2 linked regions of the Drosophila melanogaster genome follow. The protein of the gene in region 1 interacts with the protein of each later gene in a biochemical or structural test. Each region holds a gene or a part of one and is shown on either strand. Other genes may lie near its edges. The genes, in order: Slip1 and slo.

The links.
Region 2: the proteins of Slip1 (region 1) and slo form a complex in vitro, tested with the Drosophila melanogaster proteins (one study listed by BioGRID).

Annotation. Positions count from the first base shown.
Region 1 is NC_004353.4:659,287-673,394, forward strand, and holds Slip1 (SLo interacting protein 1), read left to right. Parts: upstream 1-4,334; 5' UTR 4,335-4,414; coding exon 4,415-4,456; intron 4,457-4,568; coding exon 4,569-5,054; intron 5,055-5,701; coding exon 5,702-6,019; intron 6,020-6,664; coding exon 6,665-7,646; intron 7,647-9,133; coding exon 9,134-9,288; intron 9,289-9,843; coding exon 9,844-10,164; 3' UTR 10,165-10,598; downstream 10,599-14,108. Other genes in the region: CG46466 (uncharacterized protein), read right to left, coding at 1,869-2,687. UniProt on the Drosophila melanogaster protein: May selectively reduce calcium-activated potassium channel (Slo) currents by reducing the number of Slo channels in the plasma membrane.
Region 2 is NT_033777.3:24,660,525-24,671,899, forward strand, and holds the start of slo (slowpoke), read left to right. Parts: upstream 1-1,966; 5' UTR 1,967-2,039; intron 2,040-3,839; 5' UTR 3,840-4,271; intron 4,272-4,372; 5' UTR 4,373-4,561; exon of another isoform or gene 4,562-4,900; intron 4,901-7,621; exon of another isoform or gene 7,622-8,337; coding exon of another isoform or gene 8,338-8,385; intron 8,386-9,016; coding exon of another isoform or gene 9,017-9,019; coding exon 9,020-9,355; intron 9,356-11,375. Other genes in the region: Ppox (protoporphyrinogen oxidase), read right to left, coding at 1-1,201. UniProt on the Drosophila melanogaster protein: Potassium channel activated by both membrane depolarization or increase in cytosolic Ca(2+) that mediates export of K(+). Its activation dampens the excitatory events that elevate the cytosolic Ca(2+) concentration and/or depolarize the cell membrane.

The sequences.
Region 1 (14,108 bases):
TTCCTAATTTCGCACTTGCAATTATGCTCAAATAAACTTAGAATTTAAAATGTATTTACACAACCTGTATATATGCAAGTATTGGCAAAAAGACTAATGCGATAGATATATACATGTATATACATTTGTATGAATACATTTTCAGTACTCTAGTGCATATGTAGAGAAGTCATTGTACAATACTTAGTATATTCGCGTGTCTTGTACCCTATGTGTAGAAATACAAGCGAAAAGCTGAGAACGTCACAAAATGGAGATCTAACTAAAACCTACCAAACAGAAATTAGAAATTAATATCTATTGCCAGAATATGCGTTTATAGTAAAATTGAACACTTGTGTATACGCTAATAGTTCACCGAATATTTGCAACAATTTTTGCCTTTACTGAACGAGAAGTTGATTTTCTCTATATATGTAAATATATGTGCATTTTTGTGTGTATGCATGTCAAGCCACTTTGACGAGTTCACAAAGTGTGTATGTGTTGTAAAACATACACACATTCGACAATCAATTATAGTTTTTCATATTTCACAAAATAAACTGGGATTAATAACAATCTTGAATGCGAAAACTGATTAGACTCAACAATAATTATAATTCGATGTAATTGAATATAAATTTCTGCGCACGTTCGACGATGGGGACGGCAGTTACTAGTGTATTAAATAAACCCATACAGATATTCCTGCTTGCAATATTGCCACCTAGTCAAAATTTAAAGACGGAATGGAAAGGTATGTGGAGTATAGACTAATGCAAATATGCAAAATGCTTACTTTATTTTTAATTACACTATTACTAAATTTTAACTGTTGGTGTGGAAAACCTCAAAGCAAATGCGACACATTTAAATTCCCTATTGCTTTGTCATTATGTAAAAGATTTAAAGCGTGGCAACTCTTGACTGGAACATATGTACATATAGACTTTTCCAATGCACGATACACAAGCGAACAGAATTTATTCTGCACTGATACACACATGCGTATGTCCGAAACTAAACGCTTGGGTTTTTGCGACCATTTAGGTTATGCACACTTAGGTTATGTCAGAAAGTTTCGCTTTTAATCGTACTGAGTACGTCTTCAACCATACATTAAAATTATTCTACTTCAATTTAGCTGCATTACTCCGTACATTCTATCCGTGGTGGGCTGTTGGCAATCTTTTCGTTTTAATGACAAAGCGCTTGTTTTCGAAAGATTACGCACACAAAAACATTCACTACTCGTGCTAATTCATTTTAACACACGCAATTTAAATAAAAAGTAACTATACGATGCTCTCACTCGCACTTCGCCTGGATCACGACAGACTCTTCTAGGTAGATGTCCGATATTTTCTTAAACTAATCGATATTAATCAATCTTAGGTAATACCCAGTTTACACAACTGCCTAAAATAAGTGCTGTGACCCGTTCACATCGAAGAGGTCAGATAGAGGGTACACAACAGAAGGATTAATTGATTAAAATAAATTAGCTGATATAATTTAAATTAATTCAAAACAGAGCTGTTTCAAACAAGTTCCAACTCATATAACTCTCGACCATTTCTAACAATTCAAATGAAATTTAAGGGATTAAAACAATACAGTGAGATAACATATGCATTAATAAATTTTAAAGCTTGAATGCCTTATTGAAGTGAGAATTGAAACAGGTTTGGGCAATCCATTAAATTCATAACTTATTTTATTAAGTCTATGTTAAAAAAGAATCCTTAATAATGTAATGTATAAAGTTTGGACTTACGACCGATTAATATTAATGTGTATGTTTTGGTGTTTTGCCTTGAAATCAAATGAAATTATGTTCTAAAATATCGGCTCTCCTTCGACTATCTATGAGATTTAAATAGGTTTTACCAATTGCTAAGAAAATCGAAACCCTTAGGCATTTTTAGTTCAGGGGATAACAGTTTTGTATTTTCGTCTTGACGTGCATCTTTAAATTCGTTTTCATAATCAGACAAGTCGTTTAACACACTGTTTTTCGATCCACATTTAACGAGCAGTTGCATTTTCTCATTAGATTCAATACATTCATCAATATAAACAGTTTGGGTTTTTGAGAAGTTTTCATGAATGGAAATCTTTCTTTCCGTTGTGTTAACGCCGGTTTTATCATTAGAATTAAGGTGGAGAATTGGTATTTTTTTATTGGTTGAATCTTTTGTCTTCAATTTTAAATGAATGGCCTTTTTTACGCCTAATGGAGTTTCAACAAGACAGATATCATCAAATTCTTTTAATACTATGTTAATTTGTGATTTGGTTCGATAAGAAAATGGAAACGAATGTTCATCTTGAAAATCTCCGGTGTTTTCATCGCGTAATATTTTTAAACCAACGTTTTGATAATTATATGTGTGTAAATCTTGGCCGTTATATAAATATACAATGTCTCTGAAACAAAATTTACGGTAATCATTTTTACTAACTTCAGTATTTTCGTACGGATCCTGTGCCGCATAGTTTTCTTTAGTCTTATGACAGTACTTAGAAAATATAACAGGATCTATTAATTGGTTATTCAATATTTTTTCCTGTTCGTTTAAAGTCAATTTAAGCCAAGCGTCTTGGTTGTATGTAGATTTAACTTTATTGAGATCGCAGGTAATTTTTTCGGAAATTGAATTAAGACGTGAGAAGTATGACTGAGCCTCATCGTGTGTTGTCATTTTTGATCTGAAAATAAATATGGTTTGCTGTATTAAATGGTTAGCGGAACGTTAGATTCTATCATAAAATCGAATAATTATATTAACCTGAATTCTTGAAAAAGTATTTATAATTCTTTTATACTCTTCACTCGTAAAGTAAGGGGGTTATTAAAAATTAAAAAAGAACATAACAGGTGAACAAAAAGGTTTCCGAGACTAGTTAATGAACTTCGGGATTTGGACACTATATGATGTCCAAACCGAAAACAAATGCAATAAAAAAGAAATATATAACCTTAGAATCAAATTAGCCCACCTCTCCTTTATTTACATTACTAATTTTTGGTAGCCAGAGGAGTGCTTCCCGACATTACAACATTCATAGGGGCAGACGGAAGTATCAACTCGGATGGGTGTTTCTTTCTAATCTAGACACATACATATGTATGTATATACTACATAGGGTTTATGTGTGTTTAAATTGATATGGGCGTTACAGTTTTGAACGATTTGTAGGTATTTGGTTAAAATTGTTTTTGGCAGTTTTTGGGCGGTTCGTGGTCGTTAGAACAAGCGTGTAAACATTTGGAAACATGTGAGTATAAAATGGGATCGATGCGTTCCTATTACATACATATACTTTCTATGATCGGAGACGGTTTCTTCTACCAATTACATACATTGCAGCGAATCTAATACATATACGATTTTACTTTACAAGTAATGGGTATAATATAGGAAATAAACAAAAATCGGCAAGCCGATTTTTATATGCTTATACTGAATAATATCTATTTATGATCACGAACAGAAAAAATTTGACTTTTCCAAGGCATATGGTCGAAAACTGTTCAATACCGAGATAAAACACTTTCTAACAAAAAAGAAGATATGTATGTATGTTCCCCTTTGTCGAGGTCTTTCTGCCATACATGTAGTATGCATAGTATCGGCAACAGAAAGGCTTTTAGAAAGATTTAGTGAGAAACGGGCGTACGGATATGGCTATGTCCACCTGGCTCTTGACACTTCACATTATTTAGGATATTTTTACTGAAGTTTAAATTTACTATTTAAATAATAAAAATTACTGCGATTTCCCGTTTTAACCATCATACAACCTTAAATACGAATTGATCCGGCTATTTAAGCTCTATATAATTGTATATGTGTATGCTTTAAGAAATACGCATCCATCGATAGATCAAGATAAAAGTATCGGAAATAAATTATTATATTGTGTTCACACAGTTAAGTCACTAAGGCCATTTCCATTTCATTTACATAGCACAAAATTGATACGAAACGACAAGAACTTCAATGACAGGTGCGTATCAAACAATAGTGGTTACAAAAACCATTCTATAGCAACTCTTTTTAGTCAAGGGGCACCTCCGCTTTTCGTGGTTATCAATGCCTAAGCCATTGAAATATTATATTATATTATCAATTTCATTACATCAACTTCAACTTTATATTCAACAATATGAATTGAAAATTGGTACAGTCTGAAAATATGCGTTTATACGAGCGGATAATTTTAATTGCTATGATTTCTCAATCCGTTAACGGTTTCCATTCCGTTGCGAGTTATTAAACGATTACTTAAGAGAATCGATTACAATTTTTATCAAAAAGAATACGTAAATGATATAAATGAAAACAAAAGGTTTGGCCACACTTTCGAAAAAATATGTATACAATTAAATGAAAATAAATATGAGTTTTGGATTTTAAGCATCACTATGAGTATTGCCGACGTGGAGTACGAATATGTTGTGTTAAAAGTAAGTTCAATATAAAGTAGGACTAAGAACCGAGTTCTCGTTTTACCATAAATAGTTCCATTCGTGTGAAATCTGTTTTTTAGCGTTTCAAAATGCACATATTCTGTTTCAGATAAACGGTTACGATATTAGTCATTTGTCGAGGTATGAAGCGGTTCAAAAGTTCCTTCAATCTAAAGAAACCCTTGTCGTAGAAATACGCAGACAGAAACACAATGCATTAGATTTAGAATTAAAACATGGCTCCAATGCCAAAATATCAAAAGTGGACAATCCCGGAGAACTTTCTGTCCTAACTGACAAGTCAGCAGAAGGGACGATCACAGCTGCCAGTGCCTCTCAACAAATAAATTGCCCATCTTCAACATCGTTGAAAGAAATCGAGACGAAAACTCCTGTGGTTTTAACTCTTCGGGCTAGAAGTCATGAGGATCGTTTGGGAAGTCTACAAGCCGCATCGAAGGAAACTCAAACCCAATCTGTCGTTGGTACGGACGTTTTAAAGGATAACGATTTGGTTAACACAATTACCGACAACTTCATAGAGCATGAACACCATTTGTTCGAACAATGCCTGGAACCGGAAATCGACATTGAGGTATTTACCATACATTACTACAGCAGTACCACAAAACTGTTCTGGTCTGTCTTCGCGATGTGCGATGGCGACTTCTCTATACACTTAAGACCCATTCTATGCTTATTTAATGCAAATACAAATTGCGTTTGTATGAGCATTTGTGTAGCGTTTGCTTGGGCTGCGGGCCCACATTCAACCCTTGCCCTTGCGAAGTGCAGAAATTTTAAATGCTCATATTCTCCATATGTACATACATATGTATGTTGCAGTTTTGTTATATTCGTTGAGGAGAGACTATATACCAACACAAGCCATCTGTAGACTTTGAATGATCGAGCGGTCGGACGGGCATAACAGTTATTATTAATATTCACAAAGTTTATTATTAAAATTTTTTGGAGTTGTGTGTACACTGTCACTTGCTAAGTATTTGCACACAATGATATTTAAACAAATTTCGAGAAAGCAAAAAATATCAAATAAAATAAATAAAAATTTTTGGAAGGTATAAGGTGATTGCCTTTTGTACGCCAGTGGTTTATTTACTCTCGCCGTCTACATAAATATTATTGAAACCGATGTATTTATAACAGATCCTAAAACTGTCAGTTGCTTAGATATGTGTGTTGGGATTCAAAATAATAGTATTTTTTTATAATCAACAGGAAGTAACGCTTGTTAAAGGTGTTGAACAGTCAAGCAGCAATCAAATCGGGCTCATTGTTACCTCCTCCGGAATTCAGCAATCAAGTACCGACACGAATAAAGGTGACATACTAGGTAACGTTTTAGAACATAGTGAGGATGTGTTCATCAGTGGTGTACAACCGGAAAGTATAGCCTATCGTGATGGGCGCCTGCGACAGGGGGATCAGATTCTTCGTATTAACGGCTTGGATGTTAAAAACCAGGAGGAGTTAGAAACTCAGATAGCCAGGAGTAGTACATCAGTAACGCTACTAGTTAGTCGAATTCTATACCCTGTAAGTCGAAATTTCTAATACCAAAAAAAAATTCCCAAATAAACACTTAGTTCATAACTATAGTAAGGGGTTATACCACTGTAGAATTTAATACGCTAAAAAATGCGCACCATTAAATTAAAAAAAATATTGTTCGTTCTGGTTTTTAATTTAGATCCGATTTCGACTTGTTGCCTCAGAGTAACCGCCTTCAATCTCGTAACTTAAAATCATGGTTTTGTTTGGAGTATATCTTTATATATATATTTACCTTACGGTCAAATTCGCATACGCTTACTAACGATTTTCCATGAATCCTCAAACTCGTTTTATAAAATATGTGCTTAACCAGGTTAGTAATACTATTAATACCCACATTCCATATAGATGAGATGGGTGTTGGGACTATAAAGTCCATAGCGATATGTATAATATTTGAAAAGTCAATAATGTTAATGGTAAATATTTTTGTGATTGTATTCTTAAAACAGACCGCAGTGGGAGTTGAGAATTTGTAGAAAAATATTATTTATTTATCCAAAATAAGTGCCTACAGTTGTGTGACCCATTGATAACCGATAAAACCATTTTTATTAATCAAAGTATAAAGTTTAAAACTGTAAATATTTTAACTAGCTGCAATATTTTGGAACAAATTTTTTATAGGAAGACGATGATGACGAAGATATACATTTTGAGTATGCTAATACATTTCTGCCAGATGACTATACAAATGTAGTGGATAAATTGGATAAGGTTTTGTTAACTCACGTCAAGTCTTTGGAAGAACTATCCAATAAATCCGCCATGCAATCTGACGAATGCTATCACATACCAGAAAAGAACTCATCTGATTCAAACGTTAAAATATCTTCTTTGGCGAAAAATATCATTGAGCAATCTACCAAGTCCTGTAGTAAAATAAAGCTTCGACCGAATGCAAACTTGGATTATAAAAAAAAATTCAATCTACCTTTAAGCCAAGAAGAAGTTCATCTGCAATATGAGTACGATGAAAGCGAGCACATTTACGAAACCATTCCAGAAGATTCTGAAAGTGAACCAGTGTATTGTTCACCGTACCAACGTTCAAACGACAAGACGTCAATAGGTTGTTCATCTCCAATAGCATCGAGACCGGCCGAATCATTAGAAAGAACAATGCAACAACAAACTCAAAGAGTCGCCCAGTGGTTGGGCTTGAAGCCACAATACCAGAAAACTAGACAAACTCTAGTTGGTCGACCCCCGCCGTTGAAATTAGTACAGCAACCTACTTGTAGTCGTGTTTTTACATTGCGTAGCACCTTAACCAACACAAGCGCATCCAGCAGTAGTGGAGTGGCATACAGCTCTTATGGACAAAATAATGTTGTTACAGGGAACGCCGCGGCTCCTGGCGAAGAGGTCGATAACTCCTCAAGTGCCTACAACACTGGTGATTCTAATAATAGCGCCTCCCCCCATCAAAATACTACAAATCCTGATGAAGCCATCGCCACTGGTCGCAAGCTAGATAGTACTGTTATTGATAGCCCCAATGATCATTTGGATGCCACAGGTGTAAGCACTATGTTGCTATTACCATTCGGCAAGTCTGGCCGTATTGGTCTCTGCTCTTCCAATCTGCCTACAGCGTATGTCAGCGGTATGCATAACAATTATATTTTAGTTGCAGATAGTACGTAGCGTCTGACATATCAGACGTGCTCCACTTTAAAAGCTCTTCACCTTTTACTTTTTAAACTTTGAATTAAATGGTACTAGGCTCGTTAAAAAGCTAGTAAACGGTTGAAGAAAATTTCAAACCCTGTAAAGTATAAATTCTTGATTACTAGACGAGTCTATCTGGTCATGTCCCTCTGTCCTTACGGATGTCGAGATGTCGGTAGATATAAAAGCTAGAAAGTTGAAACTAAAGGCTTATATTTTAACTGGAAAAGTCAATATGTTAATGATAAATATTTTTCCGATTGGATTCAACAAAAAGAGACGCAGTGTAGGTTGAGGAATTGTAGACAAAATATTATTTATCTATCGAAAATAAGTGCCTACAGTTGTGTTAACCATTGAGAATCGATAGAAACCATTTTTATTAATCAAAGTATAAAATTCAAAGGTGTAAATGGTTTAACAAATTTTTATAGGACGACGATGATGTCGAAGATATACATTTTGAGTATGCTAATACATTTTTGCCAGATGACTATACAAATGTAGTGGATGAACTTGATAAGATTTTCTTAACTTACGTCCGCTATTCAATCTGACAAATGCTATCATATACCACCAAAAAAACTCATCTGACTAAAATGTTAAAATATCTTTATTGGCGAAAAATATCATTGAGCAATCTAACAAGTCGTGTAGTAAAATAAAGCTTCGACCGAATGCAAACTTGGATTATAGAAAAAGCTTCAATCAATCTTTAAGCCAAAAATAAGTAAATCTGCAATGTGATTGCGCGCACACCTATGAGGCCATTCCATAAGATTCTGAAAGTGAACCAGTACCAACGTTCAAACAATAAGACGTAAATATATATTATTGATTACTAGACGAGTCTGTCTGGCCATGCCCCTGTGTCCTTAAAAACGTCGAGATCTCGGAAGCTATAAAAGTTATAAAGTTGGGACAGCATGCAGTGATTCTCTCTATCGATATGTCAAAAAATTTGGACCCGCCCATTTTAACGCCATTTTAGAGAATGCTATAGTCAAGTTCCCCGACTATCAGATACCCGTTACTCAGCTAGTGTAAATGCGAACGCGAAATTTCATAATTTGTCTGGGATATCAATAAATATGGGGGAATACAATAAGAAAAAATTTTAAAATTTTTCAAAAGTGTGGGCGTGCATAGACGTTCATGTCCAGAACGACTCGCCTATTGACACTGATCAAGAATATATGTATATACTTTATATGGTTGAAACGCTTTCTTCTACCTGTTAGATACTTTTCTCCACGGGTATAAAACGATTTATCATTTTTGCCTTGATAAAAAAAATTCTGAAGCAATTAACATTTTCAAATTTGTGTAACATTTAACTGAACGTCTTATTATAAGATTTACAAACTGAAAACGATATATCGTGAACTTCATTTAATTACCATTAACATTATTCCACTTCAGAGCGGTATACCAACGTTGGGTCTGAAAATGAAATTCATCCACTTAAAAGCGACATTGAAATACTAAGAGTTAAACCAACTGATGATTCCTATAGTCATTGTCCACAGTTTAACGCCCCAAATTTGAGTAGTTACCACTTTGTTAGTAGTCAAGAGGTAAGTACAAGTTTAATGTATGTGCATATGGGGTAAAATGGTATTAGTAGGGGATTAAAACGAATGGATGACAATGATTTTAACAGTTGACGGTTAAATCTAAGATTTCATTTGAATGTTACACATCTTAATGAATTAAGTATCATCCATTGAAAATATTTTAATAATTTTCTTATAAGTGCATTTACTGAACGTTTTCTATGGGTTTAAAATTTAAAACATGTAAGGATCAACAGGTCAGGAAAATACATATTTTTACCACTATTTACTACTTTATTCAACTTTTTTCTAAGATCATTCCAATAAGAGATCACATGAAAGGAGGTTTTAAATCGATTTTTAGTGAAAAATTATGCATCAAAAAAAGAACAATTCTAAAAACATTGTACATTTTCAATAAAATTCAAAGGGCAAATATACCATATAAGTAGGCTTGCAAATCTATTAAATCTATTAGTATATACATGTATCTCATATTCCATCTCTCTCATATTCCATTGAATATATTTTTTTGCCCATATTCTATAAATAAAAGTTTTGATTACTTTTGTAAAGGTTGCAAACAGATGTCATATTTCAACAAGCTTACAAAAAAATGCTACTTTGCTTAACGGTGAAAGTGCTGAGGAAATACCCATGGTATGGAAGGTTAAAAGGCGACCAGATGGAACGCGGTACATAGTAAAACGGCCAGTACGTAATCGACCCCAAGTTGCATTGCGGAAAAATATGCGTTACAACGAGGTTACCACGACGGAAGACGATACAATATCTGAAGTAAAAATAGGTCGTTATTGGACAAAAGAAGAACGAAAGCGGCATATCGAACGAGCTCGAGAGAAGAGACATCATCAGACGCAGCAACAGCAACAATAGCCACAGTAACATTTTCCTTTTGTACCATTTAAAACTTACATAGCTTTAACAACAGTCTTAAGAACACTAATTGGATTTACTGTCGAACAATTTTATTTGATTGTTATGGTCGTCATCAAAACTTAAAGAGATTATCAAGGTGCAAAAACAAGATTTGTCATAATTCCACTTTAAAATTTTATAATCTAACATTTTTTGGTGTGTCCAAATTGAATTAAAACGTTGTTTTGGGGGTCGTTATAAAATTCAAAAACTGTTCCTATACAAGTTATTTGTTAAAATAATCCCTACAATGCGTATAGTCTTCGTTGATGCTGCCACGATTATTTACGGCATATTACACATGTAATTAATGAAATACTTTCAGTTAGGTATAACATAATAATGCAAGTAATTCTAAGGTATTGTTTATCTAAAATAAAGAAATCGTGAACAAAAACGTTGCTTTCAAATTATCTCATCTATCGAGGAACTCGACTATAGCGATTTCTCTTATTTTGATTTCAAAATAAAATAATAGCTTTCCAGGTCAAATACCTATTTACCAAAACTTCTTTTAACTTCTTTTTGAAATTTAAACTCATTTTAATACCCGTAGAGTAAAAGAGTATACTAGATGTATCAGGTAGAAGGTAGCGTTTCTCACCCCATAAAGTAGATATGTATATTCTTTTAAACTATGGAAGCTAAAATGTCCCGAAACAAAGACGGAGGGCAAGATTTTACCCTCATATTGCCACGCCCACAAACCGCAATTTTTTTTAGCGTTCAGCTAAAAACTTTTTCGAAGACTATTGTCCACAAGCTGCACAAAACGTAGTAAAAAGTTTTGATTATTTGTTTGTGTTATTATTTGCCTAGACAATTTCTATTGGTATACCAAGAAACCGCCCAAAACTGCCTCGCCCAATCTTTTGAAACAGTTTTTTTTTTGTTTTTTCCCAATTTGTATCGATATGCCAGAAAAACGTTAAAATTTATCGTTTTCACTTCCCCTAGCTGAGTTACGGGTATCTGATATCCTGGGATATCGACTATAGGATTCTGTCTAACTTCTAATCCCTGTCTAATCATGGATTCTGATTCGCAAAACAGATTTTCGTTCAACTTGAGATTTTTAGGATCGTCATTCCGTGTTAAGCAAGGGTCAAGTGTGCGCTATCTGTAGACTCATTCCGCATGCTCTTTTGACCTATTCTGTTGACTCTAGAGGGATTATTTGTTGATTTTTGGCGCATGATTTGTTTTAAATTAAAAAAAAACTACAAAATATGTGCTTATAATTTAGTTAATAGTCAAAATTCCCATAATCTAAATCATTGGTTCTCAAAAAATGTATTTGAAATTTATTGAAGTATTTTTATCTATTAATATTATTTCCAATGGGTGTTATATGTTTTACTACTTATTAGCTTACAAACTTCAGGTTTTAATCTAAGAGTTTCCTGTATACATAATTTTTGATACTTTGAGAACAGGGCCAATGTTGCACCGCAACTGCAATATCAATTTTGCTAACTCTTAAGCTATAAATTTCATACACATATGAAACAATAACTTTTAAGTACAAGAAGTAAGCTATTGCATTTATCAGAGCTCTAAGTGGTTCAGTGTCAATGGTCTATAATTAAATATTCCAATATACCGGCTCTCATCTCTGAGACATCGATAGTTGTAATATTTTTGATTGCATTCTTTATCGTGTGTTGAATGCCGGTAATGTCATTAAATTGAATTTGGTGTGCTTAATAAAATAACTGTTGCTGTGTCCTTTTATGACAATTTTGTCAGTACAGTTCATCTAAGGAATCGCTTTCCATATACTAATTAGCCTGCGTACCTCCACCCTCAACCCTCCACCATCTTTCCATACAAAAGGCGTGACGAAATACTGCCGGAATGTGTACCTGGGGATTCAAGTTTTCGAGTGTACACACGTAAATTTTGGGCCACTGGGCTGGCGTTGATAACAGTGTTATTTGTAAAAAATATATCGTGAATTTGCTAATTGATATTACCATGCGTTGTTAATGGACTGCATTTAGACAATAAGCTGCCCTATTTAGTTTAAGGATCGGCGCCTACATAACTATGTATTCATCGTTCATTTAGTATTAGGCGATGTGTGTTTTAGGGAGGGTATGAGAAGAAAAGAAGTTACAAGGGGTGAGTGACACAAAAGTTGTAAGTTAGGGGTTGGTCACGAGCGAGTTAAGTCCGTGATCGAGGGTGGAGCCTTTTGTGAAGATATGATGTGTAAATGTATGAAGGTTTTTAAGTTTCAGCAGATAGTTGTAGTGTGAAGATTTCCAATAAAGAATACGACTGACTTTCTTGAAGTTCAAAATCAGTGTGAAGTTTATTGTCAGAGAGTGGCTACTCGAGTCCTCCGTTTTCGTCTTATACATAAGTACATAGGTTCTTAATTGTAAGCATAATGAACATGCCGACTCGGCATGTGGCTGGCTAGCTGGGGACAATGTTGCAGTGCGACTTTTGTGTAATGTCAGCATTCGGCCGGAATGTCAGCATTCGGCCGGATGCGGTGTTCCAGTTGCCGTCTTCCCGGTTGAGTGTCCGATGATTTGTTTAGAGGCGTGGGGGTTTAGGGGGTGGGGTGGTAACTCCTCCCCCCCCAGTTCGAAGTGACGGCCATAGCGAAGGTATGGATGACGCGTAGATTGGTACGTGATGATCCTCGTGGATGTGGACGATGTGTTTCGTTCGTCGGTGCAGCCATAAGATGACTGCTAGGAACGTTACCAATCCGAGCAGAGTGTAGAGTGTCCAGGTGTGCTGTATAGTATTGTGATGGACGGCCAGGATTTTATCCATTGTTTGGGTGGCTTCGAGGTGCAGTTTTTCTAGGCTTAGTACCGTAATAGTGGTATTCCTAGTTACTTTTCGCATGGGGGGAAGATCAAAATCCGTCTGTTCAGGGAACGTGTCAACCGTGCCGTCGTAATCGATACCGTTAATCTGTATTGTTTCGTTAATGTATCTGATGATGGCTGACCCCATTATTGAGAGCTCGGAGCCGTTTGTTAGGGATACCTTCAGTTTGTTCACGTTGAATGCGAAGATGTAACCTCTCTCTGCCTCGAACACGTCGGTGATGGGGCCGGTTTCCCGTACATCGCAGGAACTGTTTTCTCCGTTCAAAAGGTGTTCCAGGCATGTGTTGTTCTGTGGTGTATCAACGTAGAAGTTCTCGTCGCACAAGAATGTATTATCCAGTTTGGGGCATTTACGGGTCATATGAAATTTCTTATTATTAATATTATAAGCTAGGTAATTTGGGGTTATTACAAAATATGTGTTATTTATTGGTAATGGAACTAGTCTGGCGAGGGTATGAAAAGGTTGTTTAAAAATTGGGACTTTGATATTAAAAATAATCTTTTGTTCGTAATTTAGTGTATTCATTTGTAGGAAATTGTATATACTTTGTTCATTTTTGACTGTGATATTTTGTTTTTCCAGTATTGTTTTTATTTTATCCATTTCTTGTTCATTTAGGATGAACTTGGGAATTATATTTATTTTCGCCAATAGCATACTTTCTGTTATGTCGTTTAGGTGGTTAATGAATAATTCTATGTTATAATTAATCCTATTTAAATATTGTATTTCTTCCAGAAGGGTATCTTGTAAGTTTAAGTGTTTGTATATTTTGTTTTGTGAGGTATCAAAGAATTTACTTATCAAAATTTGTTCATTATTTATATGGTCCGTGATATTTTCGAACCGGATAAGTATTTCGTTGTTAAACATTACTTGTTTTTGGAGATTGTCGTTACTGACTTCGGAATTTTTCTTTATATTGTCAAGTTCTTCATGTATTTCTTTATTGTCGTTGGCATCCATGTTGCCGGTAACCACCTTTACTAGACTCCCCAATCCGTTAATCAAACCCCGTTTGTTTCTATATGAAGGTGTAAGGG
Region 2 (11,375 bases), on another chromosome or scaffold:
TCTGCACATGGCTGGTGGCTAAGTCAAGAATCTGCTTGGGGCTTGGACGATCACCGAACCACTGGTCGAACCAATGGCCACCCATCATCACGGTAAGCACAGTGTTCTCGCCCATGTCGAAGCAGCAGCTGTCGAAGATGACGCCGAGCAGAGGTAACTTTTCCACTGGCGGCACTAGCAATCCAAAGCCGTCTTGTTTGAGTAGCTTGCCGGGGAACTGCATGTTCACTACCAGCACATCCACGTACGGAATGCTCAAAAGTTGGGCGCTCAGCGAGGGATGCTGCTGCTTTACCAGGGGCGCGAGTTTGTAGGCGGGCAGGGAGCTGACCACATGCTCCACCGGAACTTCGGCATCCTTGATGTTCATTCGAACCCCGGAGCTGCTGAAGGTCAGGTTCCGGCATTCGTTGCTTAGCTGCACGTTCACATCCCGCTCACCTAAGTACTTTCGCATAGTTTTGGGTAGGTTCTCCAGACCGCCTTTCAGCCCGTACATGGCCCACTTCTCCTTTACCGCCTGCGCATACAGCTTGGGCTGTCTTTCGGCAAATAGTCCATCCTTGGTGTCCTTGGTCTTGTTCTTCTCAAAGCGGGAAATGAGTGTGCCCTTGAGCACTCCTCCGTACTTCTGTTCCTTTTCAAAGAGCCCCTCCATCAGGAAGCGCACACTTATTTCTCGCGCGTCACCGGCGCAAATACCGCAGATCATGGGACTGATGGCGTAGTCGGCTATCTCCTTACCAAACCGCCGCTCAGCGAAACTGTAGATGCTCTCATCCTCCAGCTTCGCTTTCTTGCTTGCTGTGAACAGATCGCGAAGAACCGCTTTGTATAGCGGCTTCGTGAAGGGAGGCAGGACGCCGAAGAGACCCTTGGGACTGTTGGGCAGCATGCAGAGCTGTCCCTTGGCATACAGCATTCGGTTGCGTGCTGCGACATGACTGCGTCGAATGGGAGTCACCTCCAGCTTCAGATCCTCCACCAATTCTAGCGTATTGGCACCTGGCTCACCAACTGGGCGTATGGTTCGCGGTCCGCTCTCGAAGATGAAGTTGCGATCCTTGCGATTCTCCGACCGCACCCATCCGCCCACACGGGGCGAGGCCTCGTAGATGGTCAGCGGCTTCCCGAATCGCCGCAACAGGTAGTATCCGGCGGATAGTCCACTCAATCCGCCTCCCAGCACGGCCGTCGTCATGGTCCTTCTGCTGCTTCTCGTTGCTCCCGAATCCCTTAGAGGATTCAGACTAGTTCTGGTTTGCAGACGAAAAAATCTATGCCGGCTTCGATCGTTCAGACCAAAATAAACCCAGGTGACATAACTATCGTTGAAGCTATCGATAAGCTCAAATCCAAAATCGCTGAGCTTGCAATCGATGTTATATGCGATTGAAGAGTTTTGAATTGACAATTCTGCAGAAAATAAAATCAAATAAAGGAAGGGATAAATATTTTATAAAATAAATAGCATTTATTGTTATACTTATTTTGGTAACTACAGCTAACATAATATCTTATAATCGAAACAATGGTTTTAGAATATTTATTGTTAAATTATGTAAAGTTAAATAAAATATAGTGCAATTGATAATACTTAATTTAAGCATTGATACAAGAATACAAATGCATAGTACTTTTATTTGCCATTATTTTATCTCATTTAACATGCATTTGTGCACCCGTCCCAAAAGTATGCAATGAATTTCTTCCGACATTCCTCATACGCCACGTGTGCATCGTGCGGAAGTTCACTTGCACCTGCATCGGCACCATTACCATCATCATCACCATCACCGCGGCACTGGGTCATTCATAGTGAATGGGTTTTGGCGCCAGTTTTGATGAATCGAACGAAGCGTCCAGCCCGCACCAACCGCAGGACTCCGAAAAGCTCCCAAAGACGAGCTTGGGCCGTGCGGAAGTACATTGGGCCACCGATTTCCATGTCGTCGGAGTCGACATCGCGCAGAATTGTATACGCTGCTGACGAGAAAGGTTGGTCCTCGCGTTTGAGCGCGTCGCGTCTTTTATTCTGGGTGTGTGAGTGAGTGGACTGTGTGGAAAAGTGCCTATCGCGTATATGTATATTCACGGGACCCATACACACACACACAGCTGCAGCACTTGGAAATGTGAAAAATTTTCAAGCTGCGTTTGCCAATTACGGGGAAAATTGAGCAAAAAACGTCTTAAAATCCGGGCAATTATCGTGGCCATTTGCGGAACGGCAATTGTGCAAAATTCGGTATCCGTTGAAAACGGGCTCAGTGAACGTGAAAATGTGCCACACACACACTTACAACGCAGGAAATTCAATTAATTAGTGACCGAGTGTGTGTGTGTGTGTTCGCCCATAAAACGGCGATTGTGATTGCGAAAAAAGTGTTGCATACATAAAGGAGCTAAGAAGTGGACCAACGAGCAACACTAAAGGAAAACTCTTTAGAAATACAGTTTTTCGCTTTTTTTTTTGGCACTGCTGCAGGTTTTCATTTAAAAGATACATTTGTTGAAGTCAACACACACGGACACACACACATGCGCATACGGCACAGTTTTTCGTTCGTTTTTAAAACGAGCACACCACAAGTTCCCCAAAACGAAAGGACGAAGGGACCCGACCCGATGATAAAGTCGATGTTCCAGGCCGGAGATACACTTGTATCGTTCCCCTGCCTTTGCCGCTGCTGTCATCGTCAATGTTATTTTTGTTGCTTCCTACTCGTCGTCCTTCGTGTGTCGCAGGATACCTTGGTATATGTGTGTCAGTCAGTCACTGGCCGAGCGTGGGTGTGTGTGTGCGTGCGCCAGGATACGCAGATACCCAGATACCTACAAATGAAGCCACCAAATCCAGGCGAGTTCAATGCGCGGCCAGGACGAAGGACTAAGCTCTGTTTACATTGGCTCACGAATGCCCATTTTCCAAGCCCCCTGTATTTTCCGCCCGTTGGCGTGCCGTGGGAAATTGTGTCGCCTGCTTATTTATTATGAAAATGCAACTTTCATTTGACTCGGCATTTGTCCCGTTTCCATTGTTTGCAGGCACATTAGGCAGCTCGTTAAGCGCATGAAAGTGTGTGTCCTGCGGGTGTGCGAGTGTGTGTGTGTGACACGAAGGGGAACTAAAAACTAGGGCAGTGTGTTTCCGTTTCAACGACATGCCGCAGGCGAAAGAACGAGTCCGTCCGCAGGACAGCAAAGCCTCGCTAATCGGGCAGGAAATGAATAACTTAAAAAGTTACCAATGACAAGTTTGACATTAAATGTATCATATACAAATAACATGCAAACGAAAGTGATAATTGTAAAGCATGTTGTATATTGCCAAAAATTCTAGTTTTTGGTACCACATTGCGTATGCTTAACCAAAATGTGCGACTTTCGCAGGCAAGGAAAAAGCTTTCTGCCCGACAATTTTCGGATTCCCTGCATCGCGCAGCCGCCAATACGCCAGCAGCAATTGTGAGAAATTGAGAGAAATTCTCAGAGAATTCTCCGAGAACTGAGAATTTAAAAACGGCGAGAATAGTGCTGATTTTGCTTTCAAGTCTGCTTCGCATCTTTATTTATTTATTTACTTGACACGCTTGCTTTTCCGGCTACGGAAAATGGTGATACAATGTCTAAAATAATATTAATTTAATAGAATATATATACGAATACAAATATATACGTAATATCATTGACAAATGTCTGCGGTCGTAAAAAAATTAAAAACGCAAATAACGCTGACAGCCTAACTAAAAAATATAATTAATTACCGCGTTCGTCGCGCTGCCTTGGCAAATTAAAAAGTATTTAAATTATCGCTCAACTTAATAAATCTCTTGCAGCTTAACACACAAGGAAAAATTTCGTGGGCAAACAAAGCTAAATAAGTTGTGAAAGGAAACATGAGCAGTGTGACTAAGCGCAGTTTCTAATTTAACCAAATTCCAATTCAAATTCAAAAGAACGAACAACTATTGATCAAGACGGCAAAGAAAGAAGCAAACAAACCAAAACGCACAATGAAACTGATAAGCTTAACGCAGCTGATAACACAATGAAACTCATCCACGGATCCGAAATGCAATTATGAAATAATCAGCAAGCCGCAATCCATCAGCCAGTGAGGAAAATCCAGCCAGCCAGCCCAAGAATTTCCACGTGCAACATTGGCGAGCCGCAGCGACCACAAATCGTCCAAACACATTGATGTGCGATTTGAGCGTGTGAATGTTGGCAGCCCTGGAGCCCTGCCTCGGTGGTTTAGCCAGTACTAGGTGAGTACTCCCAGTCCTTCATCCATTCGCCCAAAAAACACTGTTCCAAATCCCAATTCGATTGCACCACCACCACAACATCCATACACTGTGCCGCATAGAAACCCGAATATGAGAACGGATAGCGAGGGGAAAGCCGTAGCAGCCGCAAGATCCACTTCGAAATCCAGAAAGACCATCAACACCACATCAGCAAGCGGTCCGCCCGGACCGAAACCGGAACGAACATGGCCAGCTGGTGCCCCAATTGCCACGAACTGCCACCGTTCTATCCGCCCATCACGCCAAAGGTAAAGCCCTTGATGTCGTACGTGATAAATCCACAGATACATATTCGTACGCCTCGCTTGTGAAAGACCATCTGAAATTGTAGAAGTCACGTTAGCGGCTCTGCAATGATCTGTATACGGACTACTGGGATTAACCTATCTCTCCAGCTCGTCAATCAATCAATCATCAATCAATCAGTCATTTTTCCAGCGATAGTTCGCAGTGCTAGACGCTGCTACTCTTATCACATTTTGCTCTACTTCGAACATATAAAAGGCAGTGATCTTTAATCCAATAGCTTATCACTTTGTTTTGAATCCAAAGGAGCGAGCTCATTATATTATATATATCATTAAAATGTAAGCCTTATTTCTGTTAATTAAGTGTACAACTTGGTGTAAAACGATAATGTAATCGAGAGATATTTGTAAAATTTGTTGTAAATATATATAATGTACATAATCTTATCAGTACTTAGTAAGTTAAATGGCTCAGTTTATTTACTAGGTACAAACGCTTTTTCCATTTCTTCAAGAATAGTTTATGCTAAGCTCACTTTAATTTAAGAAACCCAATACCACAATCTAATCTTAATTATGCGATCGTATATTTCGCTTCCTGCTTTGAATTCGTTTCGCTCCATTTAATAAATGGGATTCACATCACTTTGGCAACCCATTCGCAGTGGGTCGCGTGACCTTTGTGAATGTGGCACACAAAGAACCCAGTGCAAACACACACACCGACCAAGTGCAGCCTAAGCCCTTTGGCCTTGGCCAATGTCCAATGTCCGATGGGAAAGCGAAAAGACATGGGGGATTGGGGAGACCAGTGGCCGGCAATCAACGGACCCAATCAGCGGGCCAAGTGCTGGCCATAAATTGCTCAGAAAGTCGAAGGGTATTTGTCAGCTTCGTCAGTTGTCGCCGTCTTTGTGCCTTTCGAGCGTTTCGCTTTGACGGACATGCGTCAAGATATATAGAGCTAGCTGGTCAGGGGCTCGCCCACGCCCCCCAAAATCGATAGTTCGCAATGAAAATTATTATCTAGCCACCGGTAGCCGTGTGACTTCATCCGTTTCTGGCCGCAAAATGACAGGGAAATCGGCCTGGTGGTATAATTTATATCGTTCCCTATCTTTTCCACCCGCACTCATAAGGCGCCACCAATTCCATCGACTTGGCGCAGTATCTCTGAGCCCGTTAAGGCGTTTTGACCGAAAAAAGCATTCTCCATTTGGGCCAAAGAATATAGAGCGACCAGTGCTTCTCATGTTATAAATAATTTATTCAACGCCGGCCACTGCAGTTTCGCTTGGATCGATGAAAGTGCTCGGAAGTTAATCCAAACACTAAAAAAAAAGGCAAGCAACTGAAATTTTCAAAAAAAAAAAAAAAAAACGTTTGAATGTGCTTATTTAAAGGAAACTTGATACCACTTCTAAATTCAATCCAATTTTGTGAGTGTGTTTGCTTTGCGAATTACAAATTAACACCCAGTTGTGTGCATTTAATTGAGTTAAAAATAATAGTATTTACAAAGGCCTCAAGTTTAACAAAAAGGTTAAAGAGTAACCCATTTCGGCTTAAAAAAAACATTGTGTTTTAACTTTAAAATTAATAACTTATTATAAACCTCATTACAAAACATTAATGCAATTTAGAAACCTTTTATCCTTAGCTCAAATGTTGAGTTTCGTAAATATTACGTATACGCAATGCTTAAATTCAAGGTGAATGCTGCTTAAAAATAGTCATCAAATATTTAATTGAATAACAATTTTGCTCTTCTTCGCTATTTATAATTGCGTAAATGCAATGAAGCGAAGAACCTAACCGCCCAAGCATCGCAAAAAAATAGAGAGCAGTGAAAAAAAAACAACGATACTGAAATAAAAACTATAAATAAAATGCACGCCACTGGCTTATGATGAGCATGATGATGATGGGAAGGGATAGCAATGCAGGGATGCGAGGGCTAAGGGATGATGAGCAATTATGGCCAGTGGGGCAGTAGTGGAAAGTAGTGGAAAGTAGCGGCAGTGGCATGTGCAAACAAACTGGGCCAACTTGTTACCACGGCTGCCCCCGCAGGAAATAGCAAACAAAGCGCGTAAATTATGAAACGACAGCTAACTGGCGGCATGGCGTGACTCGCCCGAGTTAACTGAAGCAATGGCAGTAACGTTAACGTTCACGTTAACCTGCCTCCCGCCCACCTATACACCCATCCACTGGATCCACCAGCCACTTTTTGGGAACGAGTGTTGCCCGGGGGGCCATGGGGTCACCGAAGAAGGAATGCAAAAAGTGTGTGTATAGGCGCAGAGCACAAAACAAGAGACAAAACCAAAATGAAAAAGCGAATAGAAGCGAACTCATAATTTATTTATTTATACTCGGCCTGCCGTTGTCTCTTCTTCTTGTAACAATAATTCATTGTGGCCAACACACACGCACACACACAACACACTTGCTGGCTGCCCTTGCCAAGGGTTCCACCAATATTTGCATCAATCGAACTTTTTCTATTAAACATTCAAACATGAAATTGTACAAAACAAATTAAAAATATCGTTAGATTATAAGCGGAACTAGAAATTATTATATGTACCGCTTGATAGAACATTTTACTGGGCTAACTTAAGATTAAAGGACAAGCAAATATTGTAAATAAAAAGTTACTCTTCACTATTTATTCAGTAATCCTTCGAATTCTTTAGGATTCGAGTGTCCAAAACTACAAAGGTCCTTCGAATTCGTTGTAACACAACAGTTAGGGTATATCCTCTTTATTCCAATACCCAATTGAATTCGCCTTGTCTTGGCGCTCTGCCTTTTAATTAAATTCAAGTTTGTCGCCCGTACTGACACTTTTCGCGGTCAGCCATATAGCCAAATGCCCGTATAGTCATACAATCCGCCGGAGAGCGAGAGAGATGGCCGGAGAGTGGGTGAGCCAGAAAGAGAGAGGGATGGAGAGCTGTAGCCTCCAAGGGGATATAGATAGATAGGAGCGGGCTCTTTGTAATCGTTGAAACCGTCCCGATGGCACTGGGGCAATTGGAAAACGGCTCGTTCAGTTGGTGGACGCCAGTTGTGCGGTTCGCTCGGTGCCTCCTTTTGATTCAGCTCGATTCTAGACTCTAGACTAAAATCGCGTGCGTGCCGCGTCGTGTGTGCGACATCCGCCATATATATATATATATATAATAATATATACGGCATATACTATACGTATATCTGTGGCTCCGTCTACACCCCCAAAATTCGTACAAATTGCAAATTCACATGCGTATGTGCAGTGATTCACCGAATGAGTGCGTTGGCCTCTGGCCGCAAGTTGTGAATACCCAGTGAATCCCTAATGAATGCAGGCCATAACCACAATCCTAACCAGATTGTAGTATATGTATATATGTAGTTATGGTATTTGGTTGTATGGATCGTAAGATCGGTGCTGTGTAGTCGGCCTTTGCCCAGTGTTATGAGCACTTTTGTCGCCGTGCGTGTGTCGGAGAAAAAGATCACTTTAAAAATAACAGATTTGTTTGATGCTATTTATAATAGACGGGCCAAGTTTTCGTTCCGTTTCGCATTGTGAGGCTGAGGCCTTTGGTGTTCCGAGATCTTTGGTGGATCATTCGTATCTTTCGGATTTCCCAGCGTCTTCTATTCTCTGGCACTCTAGTAGCCTGGCACTCGACTGCACTTGAACGCCATTCGAATACGAATATAGTGGCAATATTAATTTGACAGCGTTTGTGTGTTCGAGTGTCGCAATGTAAACAGCCAAAATGGCAAGCGGTTTGATCGACACCAATTTCAGCAGCACATTGGCAAATGTAAGGATTGTACATAGAACACACTATATACCCTATGCACAGAGAGAACTTTTTCATTACAATTTATTTATGTAATTAAAATAAGAAAAAGTCATAAAAAAGTCATAACATGTGGTTGTTTTTTTTTTAAGCCACATATTAAATTTAAGTAATCCACAAAGCACTATATATAAAAAATATTTTGTGTCACATAAGTTAGATTTATAAAGTAACCAACCAACTGAAACTGCATATTTCATAAAAATGTAAAATGACATTATTTTTCGCCTTCTTTTTGTTGTGTGCACAAATGAATACTCTTTTCGGCTAAGCAAACTAGAGACATTTATTCATGAACTCATTTCATTTATGCGCACCCTTGGCCAGGCACAAATTTTGTTTACATTCGCCAGCGTCGCCAAGTTGAGAAGAGTATAGTATAGTATATACATATATGTGTACGATTGGATTGCGACCGAGTGTCTTCATATATAGAAGGCATTTCGCCGATTTCAAATGTCAAGTGTATGACGTAAACAATGTTTCCGCCAGTTATCGTATTGATTTATGCTAATTATAGTTAGCTAATTGCTAGACCATTGCAACCGAACTAATTGCTAACGCTTTTCGAATTCGAATATTGTGATTGCAGGGGATGTCGGGGTGTGATCAAAGCACTGTCGAATCATTGGCCGACGATCCAACAGATTCACCATTCGACGCCGATGATTGTCTCAAGGTGCGCAAGTACTGGTGCTTTCTGCTGTCCAGCATCTTTACATTCCTTGCTGGCCTGCTCGTGGTGCTGCTATGGCGAGCCTTCGCATTCGTTTGCTGCCGCAAGGAGCCGGACCTGGGGCCCAACGACCCCAAGCAGAAGGAGCAGAAGGCATCCCGCAACAAACAGGAGTTCGAGGGCACCTTTATGACAGAAGCGAAAGACTGGGCTGGAGAGCTTATCTCGGGTCAAACAACAACTGGTCGAATTTTGGTGAGTACCCTCCACATTGGACGTCGTCCATTTATCATTTATGAGCCCCCTTCTTCGTATGGTTTGGAAAGTGGCCCGAGCATATGGTCACATTTGCCACACTGCGGGAAATATTGGTGGTTTCTTATAATGGAATTAAAGAAAAATCAAAAAGGAGCATTTTTTAACTTGTAGATTGCCTTTCGTTACTAGTCTGTTACTACATTGAATGTTTCTTAAAAAAAAGTTTTATATGGGAAGACCTTATCATATATATAGACAATAATTTCTGTCATGAAGGACGAAATTAAGAACATATATAAGCTTAAATTATCATTTAGTTTTGTTTTGGTTAAATAGAAAGGCGGGTTATTGGGTATGCATCAAGTATAATCTTCAAGACAGTATATTTACTGCAAGAGATGCATTCCCTGAAGTTCAGTAAACGAAGTCAACCCACATGCCATCAAATACTTAGTTATTTCTGCAAGTGCCATTTCTTTGAATGCCAAAAGCCGATGAATTATTCAGGGATCGAGTGGGTATATGGTTGTCCGTAGCAAGGAAAACACTAAGGTGTCCTTGTCCATCGTTGCAGCTGGCGAAAGTGCCATCGCCTTGCATTTGGAGCAGTTTCCAGGCACAATCGACTCTATGCCACCATTGGCTGCCACTTGCGTGTGTAATTTGTTTGCGATTGCTGACTGCGGTGGATTCGGGGGAAGCATTTCGTGTCAACAGCGGAAGCAGCAAAGTAAATGCGCCATTTCCACGTACAATAAATACATGAGCACAAATTGAGCGGGAGGTGGGTGCAATTCGAGGGTTCATTTCAATTAAACTCTGCCTGCGTACGAATTAACTACGATGGTTTTGTGGCTCTTGCCCCACTTCCCTCACAACAGAGCGATGAAAAACGGTTACTTGTTCAAATATTACGCATACGTCATGGCGTACCGACCCATCCATTAACTGGCCTTAGTTAATTACTCACACTGGCTCAGCGGCAATTTAGTGGGTCTTATTGGGCATTGTGGTTTAATGCGCTCGATAAGTATTTCTAGATTTGATGTTGCCGACACATTGAGTGCGAGCTTATCAGCTGAATATTTGCATTTGTCTGGGCGTCTTTAGGTGGGAGGGACATGGTAAATCCTCTTTGAGTGTATAAATGTACTCCATGATAAAAAATATAAGCTTTTATTTAGTTATAAATAAATTAGAATATATTGTAGCAGCTGTTTCATGAACCATGGGAAATTGGTATATCATTTCTGCTGAACATATTATTCTCTGTACGATAAGCTTCGTTACAAGTAAACTTTGATTGCCTATTTGTAAGTTCTCGAGTGAACTAGATTCTTTGACAAAAGCGACAAGCTCTGGACGATTGTAAGGGGTCAAGGGTGGGACATCCGTAAACTTGCACCACGCATCCTCCCATCCTCCAAATCCTCGCCAGGCAGTTCGACGCTGCCTCGTTGTCAACTGGCGCACAATGGCACAGCGGTGGGGAACGCGCATTGCCATGTAGCATGTGCTCACATTTGGCATTAAACGCGCCCCCCGCTTTTCCGATTTCCCATTTTCCGACCGCCCGCCGTGTGGTTAGTTGTGTCTGGCATATTTATCGATAGTTTCGCCCTCGTCCTGCGGTACTATGCTACTTTTTTTTATTAGTTTATTATTTTTTTTTTTGTATATTTTATTTAAAATTGATTCACATTTTCATTTTATGGCTAAAATAAATGAAAATGCCTGTCGCTCTTGTAGTCAATTTGAACTTTTGGCTAATAGCAGGAAACGGGCTGCGAGGAAATGATGTATGCATATGCTTTTGGTTGGGAGTCAGTGGAGGAGTGGGTGGCGTTTGCCCAAGGAACCACAACAAATAACAGTAAATAATATGGCAAATGCCAGGATAGAAGCCGTTTGAAAGGGAAATGTTACCAGAAGGAAAATCGATGAAACAGCGCGCACATTTCCACTTTCACCCACTGCGGAGTGGGTTGTAAGTGGGCGGAAAGTGGGCGGCAGATTG